Linked DNA regions of Oryzias latipes. The protein of the gene in region 2 binds, or shares a complex with, the protein of the main gene of each other region. Links are inferred from orthologs where the notes say so. Each region holds a gene or a part of one and is shown on either strand. Other genes may lie near its edges.

What was found.
Region 1: the proteins of dickkopf-related protein 1 (region 2) and kremen1 are in contact, whole or in part, in a crystal structure (PDB 5FWW), measured with the Homo sapiens proteins. The link is inferred for Oryzias latipes from reciprocal best matches to the Homo sapiens genes DKK1 and KREMEN1. Residues at the interface, in NP_036374.1 of Homo sapiens: Cys189, Leu190, Arg191, Ser192, Ser193, Cys201, Arg203, Trp206, Ser207, Lys208, Lys222, His223, Arg224, Arg225, Lys226, Gly227, His229, Gly230, Leu231, His261; in XP_011528731.1 of Homo sapiens: Pro67, Asn88, Asp90, Asp92, Ser94, Trp96, Gly105, Val106, Tyr107, Trp108, Tyr110, Asp127, His128, Gly129, Pro132, Thr140, Asn142, Glu164, Ser165, Tyr167, Ala168, Phe170, Asn189, Val191, Phe193, His196, Asp203, Gly204.
Region 3: the proteins of dickkopf-related protein 1 (region 2) and lrp6 are in contact, whole or in part, in a crystal structure (PDB 3S8V), measured with the Homo sapiens proteins. The link is inferred for Oryzias latipes from reciprocal best matches to the Homo sapiens genes DKK1 and LRP6. Residues at the interface, in NP_036374.1 of Homo sapiens: Glu185, His204, Phe205, Trp206, Ile209, Gln218, Val219, Thr221, Arg224, Arg225, Ser228, Gly230, Leu231, Glu232, Ile233, Phe234, Arg236, Ser258, Leu260; in NP_001401174.1 of Homo sapiens: Arg639, Glu663, Ser665, Ile681, Tyr706, Glu708, Thr724, Arg751, Trp767, Gly768, Gly769, Pro771, Val790, Gly791, Arg792, Asp811, Thr812, Asn813, Leu814, Pro833, His834, Phe836, Trp850, Ser851, Tyr875, Met877, Arg1184.

Annotation. Positions count from the first base shown.
Region 1 is NC_019867.2:1,752,249-1,755,869, forward strand, and holds part of kremen1 (kremen protein 1), read left to right. Parts: intron 1-2,686; coding exon 2,687-2,811; intron 2,812-3,568; coding exon 3,569-3,621. UniProt on the Homo sapiens protein: Receptor for Dickkopf proteins. Cooperates with DKK1/2 to inhibit Wnt/beta-catenin signaling by promoting the endocytosis of Wnt receptors LRP5 and LRP6.
Region 2 is NC_019873.2:20,249,615-20,253,313, forward strand, and holds dickkopf-related protein 1, read left to right. Parts: upstream 1-1,317; 5' UTR 1,318-1,514; coding exon 1,515-1,745; intron 1,746-1,840; coding exon 1,841-1,985; intron 1,986-2,072; coding exon 2,073-2,207; intron 2,208-2,287; coding exon 2,288-2,553; 3' UTR 2,554-3,140; downstream 3,141-3,699. UniProt on the Homo sapiens protein: Antagonizes canonical Wnt signaling by inhibiting LRP5/6 interaction with Wnt and by forming a ternary complex with the transmembrane protein KREMEN that promotes internalization of LRP5/6.
Region 3 is NC_019881.2:23,657,839-23,662,107, forward strand, and holds the start of lrp6 (low-density lipoprotein receptor-related protein 6), read right to left. Parts: upstream 2,860-4,269; 5' UTR 2,552-2,859; coding exon 2,494-2,551; intron 231-2,493; coding exon 1-230. UniProt on the Homo sapiens protein: Component of the Wnt-Fzd-LRP5-LRP6 complex that triggers beta-catenin signaling through inducing aggregation of receptor-ligand complexes into ribosome-sized signalosomes.

The DNA.
Region 1 (3,621 bases), on a different chromosome or scaffold from region 2:
CGCTGGCTGAGCGAACGACCCCGCTGACCGGCGTTCTTCCAGCCCACACTGACCGTCAGCTGGACGGAGGTGACCCAGACCGCCGGTTCTGAGAAAAGTCTGCTGGACGTCGGTGCTTTGGGGCATTTTTTAGAGCAAGAGTTTGTTTTGGGTTCATCTGAATGAATCTGTGAAGCCTCACGAAACAGAAACAGGATTTGCTAAAACTTGCGTACATCATGTGGTGAAGAAAAAAGTTATTTTTATTTGACCAAAATAAATCTGATTAAGATCTAAAAACTTATTTTTCAGGAGAAACAAGATACAGATTACAGAAGTAAAAATGTCCAAAGGCAGCAAAAATTCCTGTTACAAAGAATTCAAAGGAAGCTGTGATTTATTTATTACAAATATCAAATTTTATCTTGAATAAAATGTAAAATAAGAAAAATCATCTTAATTTCACTATTTTTCTCTTCTGCTTTAGTTTAGTAAAAAAAATACTGGAAATGTGTCGTCTTTCTTCACATTCAGAGTCGAAAATGTTTTGGGAAGTGGGCGGGGTTTAGTCTGAGGACTTATTTTATGGGCGTGGTTTCTTAACATTGATGGAGATGTTTTTTAAATGACAAAGTAGGTCCCATCCTCACAGACTTCCTGACATTTGGATTGGTCGTGATAAATTAATGTGAGACACAAAAAGGTGAAAAGAGATCCAACAAAAAACAGAAAAAAATACAAAATCTAAATGGCTGTTTTTAATTTACTTTTTTTTTTAATATTACATTGATCAAGAAGTCCCTTGGCTGTAATAACATTTCAAATCTGACTTTTTTACACAGAAGTTGGTGACAAAGTGCTGCCCTTTGGAACCAGCCTCTAGTGGTTATATCAAGAAGTGCAACATTCATTATTCCATTAAAATCTGCGAATAGAAGATGAAAATAAGTCGTTTTTCTTTTTTTTATGATTGAAATTGTGGATTGCTTTTGTTTCAAACAACAAAGTAGTTATTTATCTGTAAGTATTTTATTTATACGTTTTTATGAGTATTTAGTATCACTTAGGTTAAAATATTTAGTTTTGCGCTTCCCTAACAGTAAATGTTTATTTAGAAGTTTTTAAAAAGATAAAAATTGATTGAATAACATCTCTTTTCTCAGAAATTGGTCCAATAACCTTCATTTTTATGTTTTTTTTAAACCACATTTTTAAAACTACTTTTAAACTACTTGTGCTGTTGTGAGTGTGGAGCTGCACAGCATAAAGCCGTTATTGACTCATCTGCAGAGGGGTCTGCTCCCAGCTAAGTGCTGCATTCATGCACCGCGTGTTTTTCTTCATTTCCCCCCTCTGGCTTGTAAAACCAGATTCCATCAACAGCTTTGAAGTCGTCCGAATGTGTTTGTGTTTTCTCCTCTACTGTACTTGTTGCGCCTGCGACACAGATGTGTTTCCAGACGCTTTGTTCTGACTTTTCATGCAATTCTAAATGCTTTATTGGTGGTGGTGGTGGGGGGCTGTGCATGCAGGAATGTAGATGGCTCTCCACCTTCTCTCTGCTGCCATGAAGGGATGCAAACCCACCTGCTGGCCTGTCAGACGACGGCGGGAGGAAGAGATCAGGCTGCAGCCTGCAATCCTCTTTTCAGAGCAAAGTGGAGGAAGAGCTTTCCTGCCTCTAATCTGTATGCAGACTCCCACAATGCATTTCTCTGTGCTTTTCATGACACCTCTTGGAAGTGGCACCCGCCTGCCTTACTGTGTGAGTGAGGTTGCTGGTTCAAATCCAGGTGTTTGAACCCACCTCTGTGCTTTCTAATGAACAAACCCAATGTGGTTTCTTCAGCCCTGGAGGACGGTGCGTTCACAGACAGTCATTTCTAATTGGACGTTTCCCTTTTGGCAGATGGAGGCTAAAAACAGAGTTTAGTTTGGGATTTATGACCACTTGTGCTATCTTAAGCACTTTAACATTGGGAGAGGGGTCATCTAGACCCACTAGACAGTGCTCTGAACCTTTTTTCTTCAATGATTTGTGATCTTCACTGGTGTCCATGGATTACATGAAATCTTTCTACCTTTATCCACCTTTGTCATGGTAGGGAGAACACCTCAATGTAAGGGCGGGTCATCTTGACCCCATAGAATACCACAAGGGTTATAGACCTTTGTGGTGGTGAGAAACGTGAGAGTTTTGAACGCAGGCGTTTATGTAGACTTTTGCTTTGGAAGTGGTCGCTTGCGTTGCCGAGGGCAGCGTAGTGTGCGTAGCATAACGGTCGTCTGCACGCAAAGAACACGCATTTGTCACGGCCACAGCACTAATGGGATCTGCAGAAAGCTGTACGCCTGCGTCTCACCTACTCCCTTTTCTCCCTACGGGTTCACGCAGCGGACTACCACCTTGATATTTACAGGTTTAACCATTTTTGCCCCACAGACAGCCGTTATCCACCGGTTAGGGCATTTGGGTCTACAGCCTATAGCTGGGATTGTTGGGCAAATCTTTCATGTTCATGGAAAAAGGAGTGATATGGAAAAGTGGGGTTTCGTGTCCACCTGCAGTGCCTCTGTCCTTGCAGCTTTTGATGAGAACATTAGTCCAACGTCCGGATAAAGCGCCTCTGTTCGGGATAATTCATCCTAAAACTTCATAACTAACTTTTGTCTTTTCTTTTTTTGTCATCTCCTCTGGTGTCTCCAGTGCCGGGCAACCTGGGCTGCTTCAAAGACAGCGGTAACCCACCCACGCTCTCCGGCGCCAACGAGATCTCCAACAAGCTCACCATTCAGAACTGCATCAGCTTCTGCCGGAAGCAGAGATACAGGGTGAGCTTCGAACCAGAAATCTGCTCCTGACGTTTCCTGGATTCTGTCACAGCGACGGGCGTCTGGCGTTCTTTTTGACGCTCGTTTTCTGCAGCCGTTAAATTTCAGGTAGAGGCGAAAGCAGCAGATGTCAGACCATCGGGGCTGACAGCTGGAGATGAAGGGGCATCACCGCCTCTGAAGGCCTTTTTTCTCCTCTCTGACTTTGTCGCAGACGGCCAGGTGCTCGTTTTCTGTCTCCGCGGATTCGCTCCGGCCGCTCTGACTGGCCCCGACACCCCCCTCGTTGGGCAGCAGGCGGACTGGCAGCTGCCCTGCCCTCACTGCACATGCTCAGAAGTCCTGATCCCGTGTGACTCTTTAATTCAGCAGTCCAGATGACGTGTTTGCGTGACTCCACGGTGACAAAAATGCAGCACGAAACGTGGTTTTGGACGCTGTGTGGGTTCCTGTGACCAGACACAGGACGCAGAGGGGGAAGTGATGCGCTGTCGCCGTTTCCCTGAAGTCATGCAGGGCCTGAAATCGGAACAATGATGCCCCTTTCTACCAACAACAATAGCTCTTTTGAGGACAAGCGTTCAGTGTCGGTCAGGTCAAGAGAGTGTGTGAGCCTTTCTCTGCTGTTCTGCTCCGACACTAGAATCTGAGGAGGACGGGCGGCTTTTCTGCACCGTCAGTGCAGACGGAGGCGGAAGGTCACGCTGCAGTCCGACGTTTGTAATCAGGTTTCTCAAACGGCCCTTCTGTGTTGCAGCTCGCTGGGATGGAGTCCGGATACGCCTGTTTTTGTGGAAACGAGGTGGAGCT
Region 2 (3,699 bases):
TCAGTTGAGCATCCTGAGAGATCTAATGATCATTCGTAGAGTTGATGTCATCCACTTAGAGGTAAGTGGAGATGATTCGGTTTCTCATGCCCTCTGTGTTATTCGCACAACAAATCTGTTTGGGGGACAGGGAAATGGCTTCAGTCATAACAACAGGGCGACACTTCTGAGAGATCAAAGGGGATCAGGGTGCATCAAAGGAGTTCACCTTGCCAACACTGACATTTAGTAAAGTGGGGATAAAAGCCCTACTTCAAAAGATATGCAGCAATTCAAACGAGCAAAGTGATGGCGTGTTTGTCAGGTCACAGAGCATCTCGCTGTTTACGCGCACCCTGACTCCCACATGTCCAGCAGATGACGTCCAAGTGCCAAGATCTGATCAGAAGGTCAGCACTCCATCGCTTGCAAACCCATTGAAGTTACTAGTAATGAAATTACTTTCCAGTAGGGCCATGTAAAGTGGGGATTCAATAATTTTTTGACCCCGATTTCCTTCTTGTTGTGCGCAATTCTTGGAGATTTGGAGCCCCTGAGGGCCAAAAGCGAACCCAGATCAGAGTCTCTCCTTTAATCTCAAAAGTGCCAGCCAGCCCTCAAAAGGCTTCCCCGCGGAAGGCCATTAATTCGGTAAACTTTTCACACCCCTTAATGGTCTTTCGTATCCTTTGCGCCACCGGTGTAATCAAACGCTGTTGGGGGATAATTGTCACCTTTGCAAACAGCGGGATCAAATGAAGTAGTTAATCGACCCAAGTAACCTCAGTCACTCATCCTTAGCGAGAAGCTGGAGGAGGAGGATGGATGGATGTCAAATACACTGAAAGATGACAAACGAGGGCTGCTGCAAGACAGGAAGACCCCCCCCCCCTCACACACACACACACAAAAAAGGGGCTCTGTCCAAAAATCCTGCATAAATACAATGTTTCTAAATACTTTTTATGTTAAAAGCATTTAAGAACTTAACCAAATTTAAGAAAATGCGCAAAAAATAAGCCCTCATCTGTTTCACAAGTCAATAATGATATATGACTTAAATAAATAAAACTTTATAGACATGTAAACAGACTGAGCATGACTATTAACGTTTTTCTACATCGAGCTGGGCTTAAATAACAAGGCTTCATGTCAGTCATGGCTTTTCAGACAGACTTTGCGGGTCATTATCATTCCACAAACAATGTGAGACGCAGTTCTGCGCAGGGATGGCCATTTCCGTACAGTGGGGCTCTGTCAGAAATTCCACCCCTCCGCCTTTGTTGTGCACAGCGAGGGGCGGGAAGACAAACAGGTCCGCGTGTATAAAGAGATCATCCCAGGACTGTGAGTCAGGAGACTTCCAAGCATCATCCAAACACACCTTGGAAACTTTGGGGATTGAGGAATCCAAGCCGTTTGGACATTGTCTCATATTCCTTTAACGCATCTCAAACGGATTTCCTTAACTTTTTTCTTTTCTTTTTTTTTTTTGTTAAATTCTAACTGAGACTGGACTTAACAAGAGAATAATCATGCAGGTGTTGTTAGTCCACCGCTACTTGGCTGTGTGCGTCACGCTGTTTGGATACTTTGGAGACGTTTATCCAGGTGTTGTGCCGAAAAACTCCAACTTGATCAAACACCCGCCCGGCGCGTCAGCGGGCAAAGGCACCGACTCTGTCAGCCCAAGTCCGCGCACGTCACCCACCGGTGTCGCGGGGCAAAAGTTGCCCCCAGACACCCTGCAGGTAATAAACTCCCTGGTGCGTAAAAGTCAACTTTTTGCTTCATAACAGTTGGGTACATTTATTTGATTGCTTTATATGTGATTTACTTTGTTTCCTTCATCATGTTGTAGCAGTCAGCTGTTTGCACGGATGATGAAGACTGTGGAGGGGAGGAATTCTGCAACGATGCCCGTGGTGTCTGTCTGCCCTGCCGCAGGAGCCGGAAGCGCTGCGTAAGGGACTCCATGTGTTGTGCAGGGAATCGCTGTAGCAACGGTGTGTAAAGAAACTGCTCATGTGATTGAATTTTTATTTCAATGAAAAAAAAAAACTATTGTGTTTATTGATATTTGCTCTTTATAGGTTTTTGTCAACCACAAGACATTCATGACACAGAGTCATCCGTCACATCTGGCGGGCATAAACACAACAACACCCTGGAACATCAAGCCAAGAGGCCTCTTAATTCCAATGGCTACCAACCAATTAATGTCAAAGGTGAGATGATGGTAAATAAAACCAACAATATGTTTCAATAATATTTGTTTCATGTAATAAATAACCTTATCAATCTACAGGGCAAGAGGGTGACACATGCCTGAGATCGGCAGACTGCTCGGAGGGTCTGTGCTGTGCCAGACACTTCTGGTCTCGCATCTGTAAGCCTGTGCTGACAGAGGGCCAGGTGTGCACGCGCCACCGCAGGAAAGGCACCCACGGTTTGGAGCTGTTCCAGCGCTGTGACTGCGGCGAGGGCTTGGCCTGCAGACCGGAGAAAGCCGAGCGTGATCACGGTGTCAGCAGGACTGCAGCCCGGAACCTACACACCTGTCAGAGTCGCTGACACCACCGCACGCAGTCACAGCCAGAAGACAGAATCACACACCCACGCGCAGACACACATCAATAAATCAGTGACAGATGCTGACAAATACTCCTCAGAGAAGATGCTGACACACACATGCAGAGACACACAACACCTAAGACATTCTTTCCTGCCAGAGTTGCTGACACAAATGCATCACCAAGATGGAGAGACATGAATCCTAGAAAAGTGATACACCCAGAGGGATGCAACAGTGTGAGACGAACTCATCCAGTTTTCCATCAGCAGATATAGATTCAGAAGTTAGGAAGTAGCATTTCACAGGTATTTGTGGAGATGGATTCATGTTGTCAGTAATGGCAGAGTAGTTTTTGTTTCTCTTTTTATGGAACTTGAGGCCACAGCAATCACAGTAAATTACTGTAGTGTAAATATTATCCTGCAGGTGGCACTTATTTGCTCTACTGAATTATGTCAACACCAGTATTATAGAGACATGGTGATGCATGTTTTGTAAATAAACTGTATAGTATATAAATTGTTTTATAAGAGAAATAATGACAAATGTGAATATTTGTTTTATTAAATGCGTTGTGATAACCTTATGCTGTTCAATTGTTATTTTGTCAACACCTTAGAAAGAAAACGCAAAAATAGTTTCAATATTTTATTTTGTAGACACTGAAATTAGTCAAAATTGACAGAAAACACACTCAGACACACACCAGGATGAATTATGCTAAGAAAACTAATCTAGAACTCATTATTCTAACTTAAAATCTTCCCATCGTGCAGCTGAACTGCAGGACAGGACATGGTTGTACCAAATGATAACTGTAATAAAGAAAGTTATCCTGATGGGTGTTTGCTACCTGAACCTTTGGTGCTGCCTGGGGTTAATTATAGGTTTATGTGTAGCAGTTAGCCAGCTATCCATGGTAAACCCTCTAATTACTTCATCTTGCCTAATCTGCCCTGGGATTCGGGAAATAAGGTTAAAAGCAGCATATTTTTGTGTGCGACACAACCCACTAAAGGTACAAAAAGGGAGCTTCAGCCTCCATTGTACAGCAAGCTCTATTTCCTGACACGTTGATCAATGCAGGAGCTTTAAATATGTAGGCTATGAATCCACTCAAACACACCGTGGCCTCTGTAATTAGA
Region 3 (4,269 bases), on a different chromosome or scaffold from region 2:
CTGCACCACCGTCTGGACCGGACTGGCGCCCGACTGGTTGAAGAACGTGCGTTTGATGGCCTCTTCGCTGACGTCGCTCCAGTAGATGAGGCCCTGAGAGTAGACGTAATCCACGGCGGCGGCGTCCTCCAGCCCGCCCACCACCACGGTGTCGTTGGCCTTCTCGTGGGCGGTGTCCACCAGGCGGAGGTCCCGCCGGTTCGCGTACAGAAGCAGCGGCTCGCCTGCAACTACAAACAAGAAGAACCGCTCAGGAACGGCCACGGAACCGACTGCACAGAAACGGACCAGCAGAACCCCACGGATGTCAGGGGTCCGGCCCAAGACGGAGGCAGGTTACCGCGGTAACAAATTCAGGTACACAATGATGCTGTTCCCCTTCTATTTAACCCCCCCCCCCAACACGGGTCTGTTCTGGATTCAATGACTCAGATCAGACCTGCAAACATTTCTGGTCTTTTGGACGCAGGTCCACCTGTCATCATCTGGATCAGCGGTTCTGTAAAAACTACTTTCCTCCAAAACCCGTTTGGAACTGCTGTCGAATTTTTCAGTTTTCCTGGTTCTGTTCTGAGTTCTGTTCTCACTGGGAAACCCTTCCTGGGGGGTTATGCAGACGGCTGCTTCGGCCCAAACCCGCAATATGACCACTCAGCTGCTACAGGATCCTGACGCTCTGGGTCAGAAACCAGGATCCTGCACCTTTGGGTCAGAAACCAGGATCCTGCAACTCTGGGTCAGAAACCAGGATCCTGCAACTTTGGGTCAGAAACCAGGATCCTGCAACTCTGGGTCAGAAACCAGGATCCTGCACCTTTGGGTCAGAAACCAGGATCCTGCACCTTTGGGTCAGAAACCAGGATCCTGCAGTTCTGGGTCAGAAACCAGGATCCTGCAACTCTGGGTCAGAAACCAGGATCCTGCACCTTTGGGTCAGAAACCAGGATCCTGCACCTTTGGGTCAGAAACCAGGATCCTGCAGTTCTGGGTCAGAAACCAGGATCCTGCAACTCTGGGTCAGAAACCATGATCCTGCACCCTTGGGTCAGAAACCAGGATCCTGCAACTCTGGGTCAGAAACCAGGATCCTGCACCTTTGGGTCAGAAACCAGGATCCTGCAGTTCTGGGTCAGAAACCAGGATCCTGCAACTCTGGGTCAGAAACCAGGATCCTGCAACTCTGGGTCAGAAACCAGGATCCTGCAACTCTGGGTCAGAAACCAGGATCCTGCAACTCTGGGTCAGAAACCAGGATCCTGCACCTTTGGGTCAGAAACCAGGATCCTGCAGTTCTGGGTCAGAAACCAGGATCCTGCAACTCTGGGTCAGAAACCAGGATCCTGCAACTCTGGGTCAGAAACCAGGATCCTGCACCTTTGGGTCAGAAACCAGGATCCTGCACCTTTGGGTCAGAAACCAGGATCCTGCACCTTTGGGTCAGAAACCAGGATCCTGCAGTTCTGGGTCAGAAACCAGGATCCTGCACCTTTGGGTCAGAAACCAGGATCCTGCAACTCTGGGTCAGAAACCAGGATCCTGCACCCTTGGGTCAGAAACCAGGATCCTGCACCTTTGGGTCAGAAACCAGGATCCTGCAACTCTGGGTCAGAAACCAGGATCCTGCACCTTTGGGTCAGAAACCAGGATCCTGCAACTCTGGGTCAGAAAACAGGATCCTGCAGTTCTGGGTCAGAAACCAGGATCCTGCAGTTCTGGGTCAGAAACCAGGATCCTGCAGTTCTGGGTCAGAAACCAGGATCCTGCTGTTCTGGGTCAGAAACCAGGATCCTGCAGTTCTGGGTCAGAAACCCAACCCTATCCGGGCTGGGAACACCTGATAGGTGTGGGAGCGGAATACCAGCCTGATATGAAAAGTCCATTGAGCCAGAACCTGAAGAGTTCGGATCAAACCCGGATCCACTGAGATCCAGACAAAGGTGCGATCCGGATGAAACCGGAACACCGACCTTCCTGTCGGTACAGTTTAATGATTTTGGCCAGTTTTGTGGGTTCTCCCGGGTTCTGCAGGAGGTCATCAGAACCTTTGGGATTCCACTGAAGAACACGGCGCTTCTTGTTTTTGCTGCTGTGGGTCTTTCACGCAGGTGTGACCGCAGCACAACCCCACCGCGATCACACGTGAAAAGTAGTCCCCGTTACGTTAGCCGCGGCTAACCTGCTGCTCCGTAGCATTGTTGCTCTTTACGTTACACGGTAAAACCGTGGAAACGAGGAAGCTGCCGGTAAAGTCCACGGCCACGCCGGGTAACGGCGGCCCACGCGCGGCTCTAGCTGCGGTTCTGTTCCCGCACGTCGGCTGTTCTGCGGTTCCTTCGTCCGACACAAACGGGCTGCTAGCGGGAAGCTAGCTTTAGCTCCGCGGGCCGAACTCTGGAAAAGCGTTTTCGCTGTAGGACACGCACACCTCCACCCGCACAAACAGCTCGTATTTCGGTGAAAACGGCGGTAGTGGTCCGGGAGGGCTCAACTTACCTCGTACGACAAAAGAAAAGCTAAACAACAACAACAGACTCCGCAGCGCGACACCCATATTTCTGCCGTTCTTCGGCCGAGCCGCCGCGTCTCCTCAGCGCTCGTCTCCCATCTCCGCGGCCGCTCCTCGGGAACAAAAAGGAGGAAAAAGCCTTTTCCTCAACGGGGTTTTGGTGGGGGAGCAGCGGCGAAAAAGCTCACGGCGCCTCCGCGTCCATCCCGGCTGCTGCGTCTACTCCGCTTGGCTCCTTCACATTGTCCTGCAGGAGATCCGACGTCTCCTTCCGCCGCGAGGAAGCTGCTCCCTGCGCCTGCGCCTCCCTCCTCTGCTTTCTATTGTTGTTCGCGTTCCCCGCGCTCACGTGCGCCGCGCGCCCGCAGCAACCACAAACCAGCTGGGGGCAGCCCGCAAATGGGGAAGCATGCGGGGAAGAACAGCAGCGGGACTACTTTGTCACTGCATGGAGGGTAGCGCCCCCCCCTCGTGTTTTTTTCTTAGTTTACTTCACCTGTAATTACAGATTTTCTCATCATCACCTGATTTTCGGCATTTCGATCACATCAGTACTTCCGCCGGGACTTTCAGTGGTTTGCGCGCGCGCGCGCACACACTCATTAAAGATGAACCGTGTGTGTTTGTCTCTGTTTAGCCCACCCAGCATCAGACCTCCACCCCTCCTGAACTCCTCCGACTCCTTCAGAAATCAGGAGGAGTGCAGAAAAGTTACGCTGATCCAGAACCAGATCTTCTCCTGTACCTGGAAGCTTCGGGCGGCACGGTGGGGTAGTGGTTTGCACTCTAACTTGAAGGTTTTTCTGGTTCTTGCATGAGTAAATTCCTCCAGAAACAGGCTGCGTGGTGTGAATGTGTGGACCTGGGATGCAGCCCAGCTTCACCTGTCAGGAGCTGTGCGCGCTCCCGTGACCCCTTGAAGAGGGTTCTCATAATGGATGGAACCGCTCCAGGGTCAAAACCCGGTTTAATCCCCACAACAAAACGCAGAGCTTCCAAACGTATGCAAACGCTTTACTTCACAAAACAATATCAAAAAACACCATCCAGTAATCAGAGTACAGTGAAAGCACGTGACCGCTGCTGCCCCCTGCTGGAGGCCTCCGAAAGTCCTGCCTCTGTGCGTCACAGTGTGGCAGCAGAACCACGCAGGTCAGCTCCTTCCTGAGTTTCAGTCACAGTATTGCTGTAGCTTTGTTCTTCATCAGCCGACGAAGAACGAGGGGCCTTCCAGATCCCCCCCCCCCCCCCACACACACACACACACAGGTTCTCCTGGTCTCAGAGCTGCCAGTGGTGAAGACGGGGAGGCGGAGTCAAAGTGAGCGATGGTCCACAGAGGAGCGCGGCGGATGACCTTCAGCTCAGTGTGGAGACAGGAAGGTCACAGGATCAAAACTCCTCCTCAGTTCTGAGGAGTTTCTCAGCTAATGTCATCAAACCCTTTCAAAGCACAAACGACTCTTTAATAAAAGTTTGTTTTGTTTCATAAAAACATCTACGCTTTACTTTTAGTGTGAAATTATTAGAAATGTTCATCAAAAGTGAAACATGCTCCGTGGTCAAAATTCTCTAAGCGTAAAGACGGGAAATTGAAACTTCACGTCTGAAGTCGGCCGCCATGTGGATAGGTCAGAGGTCAGGAAGCAGCCCACCTGCTTTCCTCAGCAGCGTCCTGCGGCGAGTCCATCCCGCCGCTGCCGCTCCTTAAAACCTTCCTACCATTGAGTCCATCTTTACCTACAAGAGCCGACGTCGGTTCT